2 linked regions of the Mus musculus genome follow. The protein of the gene in region 1 interacts with the protein of each later gene in a pairwise test. Links are inferred from orthologs where the notes say so. Each region holds a gene or a part of one and is shown on either strand. Other genes may lie near its edges.

Region 1 (3,648 bases):
GTAAATGGATGGTCTGGTTTTGTCTGGTTGAAAAAAAAGATATGATATAAATGTGGTCTAGATCACAAACTAAGACAGATTCCCCCAGCTACAAGCCAACTCATGACTATGCTGTGGCATATTCATTCATTAGTATAATGGGATAATACAAGACAACTATCACTTAGCATTTCTCGAAATAATTAAAAGGAAGTTAGAAATGGTGGGAGGGACTAGGCAGGGAGCTGGTCTGCAAAGGTACCATCTAGTCATGGGTGCATGAGTACCACCCAGTGAAGCATCTCTCTGTGAATCTACTGCTTACCAGGTTTCTCTTTCTTCCCGGCCTCAGCAGTGTCCACAGCTGCCAAGATGAAAATCAATGCCAGGAAGGCAGCTGCAAATTTTCTACGTTGCTGCTGATATTGCTGGGACGACATTTCTGGAGTAAAGAGAAAGGGGGAAAGGTGATTTCTACCTAAGTCAGGATAAAGATCCCACTCCTTGATGAAGCACACTATGTGAGGCTTCTGGAACACTAGATTTAGAAAAAAACAGTATTAATTATTACAAGCATAATTCTATTGTTGCTCACCAACAGCCATAAATAAGTTACATAGTCTCTCACAATACTAAAGCATTCTTCATAACAGACGTCATAGCCATTTATTATATATGACACTGGAGTTGTGAAAGCAAGAGAATTTTAAAGCATAATCTTAAGCAGAGCCCAAACCCAATCTTGTTGTTTGCATCACTTGGTGATAACAGCTACAACCATCTTCAGGTTGTCTGGAAGTTCCTAGAAATACTCATGGCATTACAGTCATGGGGTTCATCAGAATGGTCATGGCAAATGATGGCCTGCAATAGCGTGAGCTGTTGTTTTATCTTTAGGTACATTTGGCAATGAGTAGTATCTCTGATCCTTTTCTCTCCATGATCGCTTCTAGCATAGTGTGATTATCCCATTATCCATTATAGTGAAACACAGAAATAGAGCTAGCATGCTATGATACTATCAGCTTATAAACTGACTTTAATCAAGACCCATTAATTCTCCAGATCTAGGGAACAGTGATTACACTTGCTCAAAATATAAAATACTCCTCATCTCACATAAATCAAAATCCCTAGATAACACTAGGAAGATCTCTGTTAAACTTAAAGACATGTGTGATAACCATCTGTCAAGATGATCACGTTGCCTAAACGTTCCCAAAGAAGCAATTGACCATAGAAACTTGCTTGATAGTCATTTACCTCTGTCTACGGTGTTAATGGCATTTTATAGGTCACATGAAAGTGCAGAACTAATCTTTGGTTATTGTTATTATGTGACTTATTTTTCCAAGACTGGCAATAGACTAGTTTTATTTTATAATCTCTTTAGTGAACAATAGTGTGTGTGTGTGTGTGTGTGTGTGTGTGAGACCATGGTTGCTAAGCTCATATCAATTTCCATGATGTCAGAATTGTCACATATAATCACATTCTGTTTTGCTGTCAATGACTGGATTCAATAGTATGAACAAACATATTAAGCATATTTCACCTGAAACTAAAATTAACATAAACCCTGCTTAGCTACTCAGCTCCATTTCTATCCCCATCTGCAATCTGGTACTGGTAGCTTTGCTCTTCCTAATGCTGGATTTTTTTTTTTTATGATATGGAAAGCTTTATTTTTTTCAACTTTTTTTAAAATTAACCACTCCATTTGTTTACATCTCAAATGATATCCCACTTCCTGGTTAGCCTTCCACCACCATCCCCTTCCACATCCGCCTTCCGCCTTCTTCCCTCCCCTTTGTCTGTATGAAGGTCCACACACACACACACACACACACACACACACACACACTCCTGCCCCACTGCTCTTGTATCCCCTACACTGAGGCATCAAATCTCCCCAGGACCAAAGGCCTCCCTTCCCATTGCTGTCAGGTAAGGCCATCCACTGCTACATATACATCTGGAGCCATGGATCCTTCCAGGTACACTCCATGGTTGGTGGTCTAGACTCTGGGAGAACTGGGTGTTCAGGCCAACCTAGGTTGTTCTTCCAATGGGGTTGACAGTCTAGCCGAAGTGCTCCTAGAAACTCTGAATTGAGTCCTCCTCTCATGACCAGACATAACAAAGCCAGCCTAGACTCATTGATGTGCAAGCTTGTGGGAGTGATCAGAAATGAGTGCCCTGTGCACCTATATGATGCTCTTTTTCCTATGATATTCAGAAACTATTAAAATGATTAGGTGTAACACCAACCAGAAACTATGTTTTTTCCCCAAAGGCACATTCTTGTAGTGCCTAAGCACTGTGGTGAAACTTCTGAGAATTCTCAAAAGGCAAATTAACTGTTTCATTAATGGCTTTTCAATTTTATTTCAAAATAGATTTCACTTTCCTGGATTAAAAACTACCTTAAATACAGCGTTATGATGTAGATGATTGTGAGAATCTGAAAATTCTCACTGAGAAAGCACAACTCTGGAGAAAACTTTCTGAGCAAGCAATGAGTGATGATCCTCCCTAGTCTTAATAAAGTGGGGTGATGAAGAGGTCAGAAGTCGTTCTGACTAAGCCAATATCTTACTATCTTAGCTTTTACAGGAGTGTAAAAAGAATAAAGGTTTAAAAGAAGAGTAAAAGAAATGGAATGATTAAAATTACCCAAGTGCATCGAACAGTACTTAATAGTAAGACCATTTGAGTGCTTCAAACAATACTCAACTAACTTTTGGCACATTTCTGGTACATAGATACATGAGTAATTATGCAGATAGCAGCTTGCATGTGATATATGTAGAGTTGGCTGTTTATCATCAGCATCAAGTAAAACCAAAAGCTTTCCTTGCATATAGTTTAACTCTGCTTGTTCTCCAACATGCTGGGTACCAGATGACTGCAGAAGGAAAAACAAGTCCCCCTTAGACACACAATGTAATTAGGGAAGTGGGTAATTACTTTTCACACTGAGAAAAGGAAACAATGGAAGGATAAAACTTACTAAATTGGCCAAGTTCTCTTGAGAAATTTCTGTCTTTCTTACCACCTTCAGTCATCTTTATTATATTTGACCCGACAGATATAATTCACTGTGGTTAACAAATTGAAGGCTACCATAAATGGATGCTGGGGTGTAACATACTGTTGAGTTATCTCAATGAACCCTGAAACTCAAAGACAAATAAAGGAACTAATTGGTGGGAAAGCATCCACTGTTTACCTCTTCTTCTGAAACAGGGTTGATTAGAATGTATAGGAGGTCCTCCTCCCTAAAGCTGGAGGCACAACTTTTTATTCAAAACTTTATCACAAGAGTATTTTTTTTTCAGATTGTGTTTGAAAAATATTAGAATATCACAACCAATTTAACTGGTTTTGATACCAAAATATTGAGAGTAAGTGGTAGGGCTGCTAATAAAACAACTGCTGGAAGCAGTTACCACAAAATCTGCAGGATAGACATAGAAATAATCTAGAATATTAGGAATTACATTATCAGCATGGCTTACCTCTACAGCTCTATGGTTTGCATATAAAGTTTCCTTTATGAATTAGAGATTTGGTCCCCAACTCTAGCAAGTAGGATATTGAGGACTGTTAGAATAATTCTGCCTTTATCAGTAATTTAATCCATGGATAAATTAAAAGATTGGATAG
Region 2 (4,258 bases), on another chromosome or scaffold:
GGAGCACTTTATATGGATGTCACTATTGTTAAAAGTAACAATCTGTTTCAGGTGTCCCTCAAACAATTAAGAATGGCCAACAAACCATTCAATCTTACCTAATGTATTCACCTACATTTAAAAAAAAAACTCACCTCATATGTTAAAATTTTCTTCCAAGGTAAAGGTTTTCTTCCACTCTCAGATTCTAAGAATGGAAACACAGCTCCTTTGTCTTTAATTTGTTTTGCATCTATTTGCGACCTTCTAGTGATCCTCGTTCCCGATGGTTTTCCTCTTGGTCTTCCTCTTGGTCTTAATTTTGGCTCATATTTTCTCTTTTTCCTCTTTTTCCGTTTCTTTTTTTTAAATCTTTCAAAAATAGCCTTTAAAGTCAGAGGCCTTGGTTCTATAGAAGAGTCACTTGATGAATCTGTTTCAACACTTGCAGGTAAAGTAACACGTTTCACAGTAGGGTGTCTTTGCTTTTGTATAGGTGAAGGAGCACACTGAGTTTTAAATAAGCTGCCATCAGAGGAGTCATCACTAAAACAAAAATGAAACTGCATCAGTTATCATTAGCTATAATCCTCCCCGAGTTTCAAGGCCATGCTCCCAATCATGCATTCCTTCAGTTCACAGCTCCAACAGCCTTTACTGCCCTTAGAACACCAGACAAAAGCATGACAAACCTAAAAACCATGTTAAAATTTCAAAGTGCATTTCTTCAAAGATCAACCCCCTAAAATCATACCCAGCATTTTAGAATAGATTCAGTACCAGTTAACCACTAGTACTTACTATTATATCTAAAACAAGACAGTTGGTTAAAATGTTCAGTTTTAACTTTCAAAAGCACCACTTAATCACTAAAGCTTCCACTATCTACCTACTAAACAAAAATGGGCCAATAAAACCAGAACTAGCCCCCCAAATGTAGTTTTCTTGGAAAAAATAAACTATGTTCCATTCCTACATGTTCAGGTTGGTAGAATTATACAGTTTTAATCAAACTGTCAAGCTAATATAAATGCTAATTGAGGTTCTCTCTATCTATTTTAAGTACAAGCATTACAAATAACTTGCTGGAGTGCAGGGTGTGGTAACATGCCTTTAATCCCAACTCTTGAGAGGTAGATGGGCAGGATTACCTGGGTGAGGGCAGCCATGGCTCTATCTACTGAGATGTCTCAAAAATAAATTGAACATTTGGACTGAATCTCTAGTTTACCCACAAAAGCTACCTTACCTTTGGTCTCCAGTATCTCCAGCTCTATCCGATGCCACACAGACAGAATTCACTTCTGATTGAGCCATCACTTTTCGCGGCCTTTCCCAATTTTCTGCAATCACAGATTTCAATGATGTACCAGCAGTCTAAGTTCAGCATACTCCTTCCCACTGTGTGAATTTCTGTAAAATCCCTATGGATAGTACATTTTATATCTACTTTAAAGCCTCTGAGTGGGCTTGTTTCCAGTATCCACATCGGGTTGCTCACAATCTCCTGTTAACTCCAGCTCCCTGTTAGTGATCTTTTGTCTTCCAGAGTACCCTCACACATATGGCATAGTTTTCTTTAAATATGTGAGTGAAAACAAGAAGCCACATTCCAATGCAGTTTGTTTTCTCACTAAATCTACCCCCAAAACCCGACATGGCTTTAACCACCACCTAGCCTCACAGTAGCATTTCTAATTCCAATCTGGGCTGCGAACTCGACACTGAAACAGAGTTCGGGTAGTTGGGATATGGCGATAGTGGCTCAAAAATCACTACTGATCAAATGGTCACAGGCCTGTAATCCTAACAACGTGTAAAAGAACCTTTAGATTATGGCTGAGACGATAGCCTAGCAGTTAAGTATACTGTCAATGGCCGGGCGTGGTGGCGCACGCCTTTAATCCCAGCACTCGGGAGGCAGAGGCAGGATTTCTGAGTTCGAGGCCAGCCTGGTCTAAAAAGTGAGTTCCTGGACAGCCAGGGCTATAAAGAGAAACCCTGTCTCGAAACCTCCCCCCCCAAAAAAGAAATGAATAGAATACTGTCAATGGACTAAGATGAGACTCCCAGAACTCACATGCCAGCCTAAAAATAGCTGTAAGCAGTCCTAAGAGATTCGATGTCCTCTTCTGGGCTCTGTGAGCACTGCGTGCACGTGGTGTAGAAATATTAGGCAGGCAAAACGGCCATATGTACTAAAGGAGAAAAGACTACAGTTTTCCTAGGCTACACAAAATCCTAGAACTAAAAATAATCACAACTTTCGAGGATAAGAAAAACAGGGTGACTACGACCTTAGATTGCAAAATGCCCGCTACATGAATTGCTTTTTTAAATTAACCCACCAAAACTGAAATTTAAGGTTGACCCGGTCGCCCCAACGATATGCCTGTGAGTAAATCAAAGATAATTCCTAGGAATCACTCCCACCTGTACGCTACTTTACAGTTCCGAGACTACAAGCTTTGGAGGCCACGTGGTGAGCTGCGTCGACTATGCGCCGTGGGCCCGCTGCAAGACCCTTTCGGAACGTAACCTAAGAGATGTGCGCAGGCAGCACGCGACCCCTTACACGGCACTAAAAACGCCCTCCAGGCCCAGAACACCTCGGCCTCTCCCAACAGCGACCCGGAGCCTCGTGCGGCCTGCGGATGGCGGGATTCCGGCCCGCTGCTCTGGCCCTACAAGAGCGCCGTTTCCGCGCGGACCGCAGCCCAAAGAACCCCGCCCTGCGGCCCCGTCGCCCGCAGCAGACCTGAGCGGCCACAGTGAACAACCGCTTACCTCTTCCGCCGCGTCGAAAAGAGCGCTCCCGGCGCCCAGCAGCCGGACTAGGACAAGGACGAAATCTCGCGTGAGTACACGTTGGTGGGCGTGGCTGTGCGTGTGGTGGGCGGGCCTCCGGGAGGGGCGGTACCCCGGCTCTCCCTTGGCCTAGAGCTATCAGAAAAGACTGGCAGGAGACTAAACCTGTGTTCGAACCTGAGTGGAAAGAAGGCCTTCCTGCAAGTGGGAGGACACTGCGGGCCAGGTGAGCGTCGATTTGTTGTGGTGACTGAGCCCGCAGTGTGCCAAGCTCTCTGTCAGACTAAGGGTGGCATGTGTTATGGATTTCTGTACTGTCCCTGTGTCCTCACTTGCCTCCTACTTTTTTTTTTTTTTTTTTTTGGTTTTCGAGACAGGGCTTCTCTGTGTAGCCCTGGCTGTCCTGGAAGGCACTTTGTAGACCCGGCTGGCCTCGAACTCAGAAATCCACCTGCCTCTGCCTCCCGAGTGCTGGGATTAAAGGCGTGCGCCACCACGCCCGGCACCTTCTACTTTTTGACCCCTGCACACACTGTCCAACAGTCTGTGGAATCCTGCAGCATTGACTCTGGCTTTGCACCCATGCAGGTCCACTAGGACTAAGTTGTAAGGGAACATTACAAACACCTTATTGAGTGCGTGACAAGATCTGTGGTGAGAGGGCAGATATTACTATCCCTTGAGTTCTCATAGACAAACACATTTCAAATGTAAAGTTGTTGGCCTAGAGATATAACTGGATTATAGAGAGCTTGCCTAGTGTACATGGCACCACGGAGAAAAAAAAATAAAAACAAAAAAAGCAAACAAAGACCTGTGTGTGTGGTTAGATCAGTATGAATATAGGGTCCTATGTGACTGAATGAACTATTTGCAAAGCTGTAAAGCCAGCCTTGTGCTTGAACCCTACTAGTCTAGTATATCGTAAAAGTGTGGTATATCATAAGTACCTAATAATTAGCAATATATTGTGTGCAATATATTTGGAAGAGAGAAGTCCCCTCTAGGTGGAAGATGGGCACTTCTCCTGGTGCTGCAGGATTATTCTGAAGTCTTCCTGGTGTCAGCCAAAGGGGCCATTTCTTCACTGCTGATTCAGCTTAGGGTGGGGTGCATTCTGGATTTACAGACCTGCCTTTGAGTTTGTTGTTGTTGCTGCTGTTGTTTGACACATGTCTCTTTATGTAGCCCTGACGATCCTGGAACTTGATTTGTAAACCAGGCTGGCTTTAACCTCACAGAGAACCTCTTGCCTTTACAGCCCTCTGCCTCCAGTGCTGGAGCTAAACATGTGCACCACCATGCCTGGCTTGAACCTGCTTTTGAATCCTGTTTCTGCCATGTAACAACTGAATGATCTTGAATAAATTTTGTTTCCTTTTCTGTACAGTAAGAAGTACAATATGTCTGTCATGGATTTGAGAATTTTGAGGGACTTTAAAGGGCCTGACAATTTCTGAATACAGGATGG

The links. The genes of interacting proteins can lie anywhere in the genome.
Region 2: the proteins of Ptn (region 1) and Taf1d interact in a two-hybrid assay, tested with the Homo sapiens proteins (2 studies listed by BioGRID and IntAct). The link is inferred for Mus musculus from reciprocal best matches to the Homo sapiens genes PTN and TAF1D.

Annotation. Positions count from the first base shown.
Region 1 is NC_000072.6:36,744,085-36,747,732, forward strand, and holds part of Ptn (pleiotrophin precursor), read right to left. Parts: intron 422-3,648; coding exon of another isoform or gene 420-421; coding exon 305-419; intron 1-304.
Region 2 is NC_000075.6:15,304,792-15,309,049, reverse strand, and holds the start of Taf1d (TATA box-binding protein-associated factor RNA polymerase I subunit D), read right to left. Parts: upstream 2,837-4,258; 5' UTR 2,767-2,836; exon of another isoform or gene 2,602-2,766; intron 2,181-2,601; exon of another isoform or gene 2,060-2,180; intron 1,323-2,059; 5' UTR 1,297-1,322; coding exon 1,229-1,296; intron 526-1,228; coding exon 135-525; intron 1-134. UniProt on the Homo sapiens protein: Component of the transcription factor SL1/TIF-IB complex, which is involved in the assembly of the PIC (preinitiation complex) during RNA polymerase I-dependent transcription.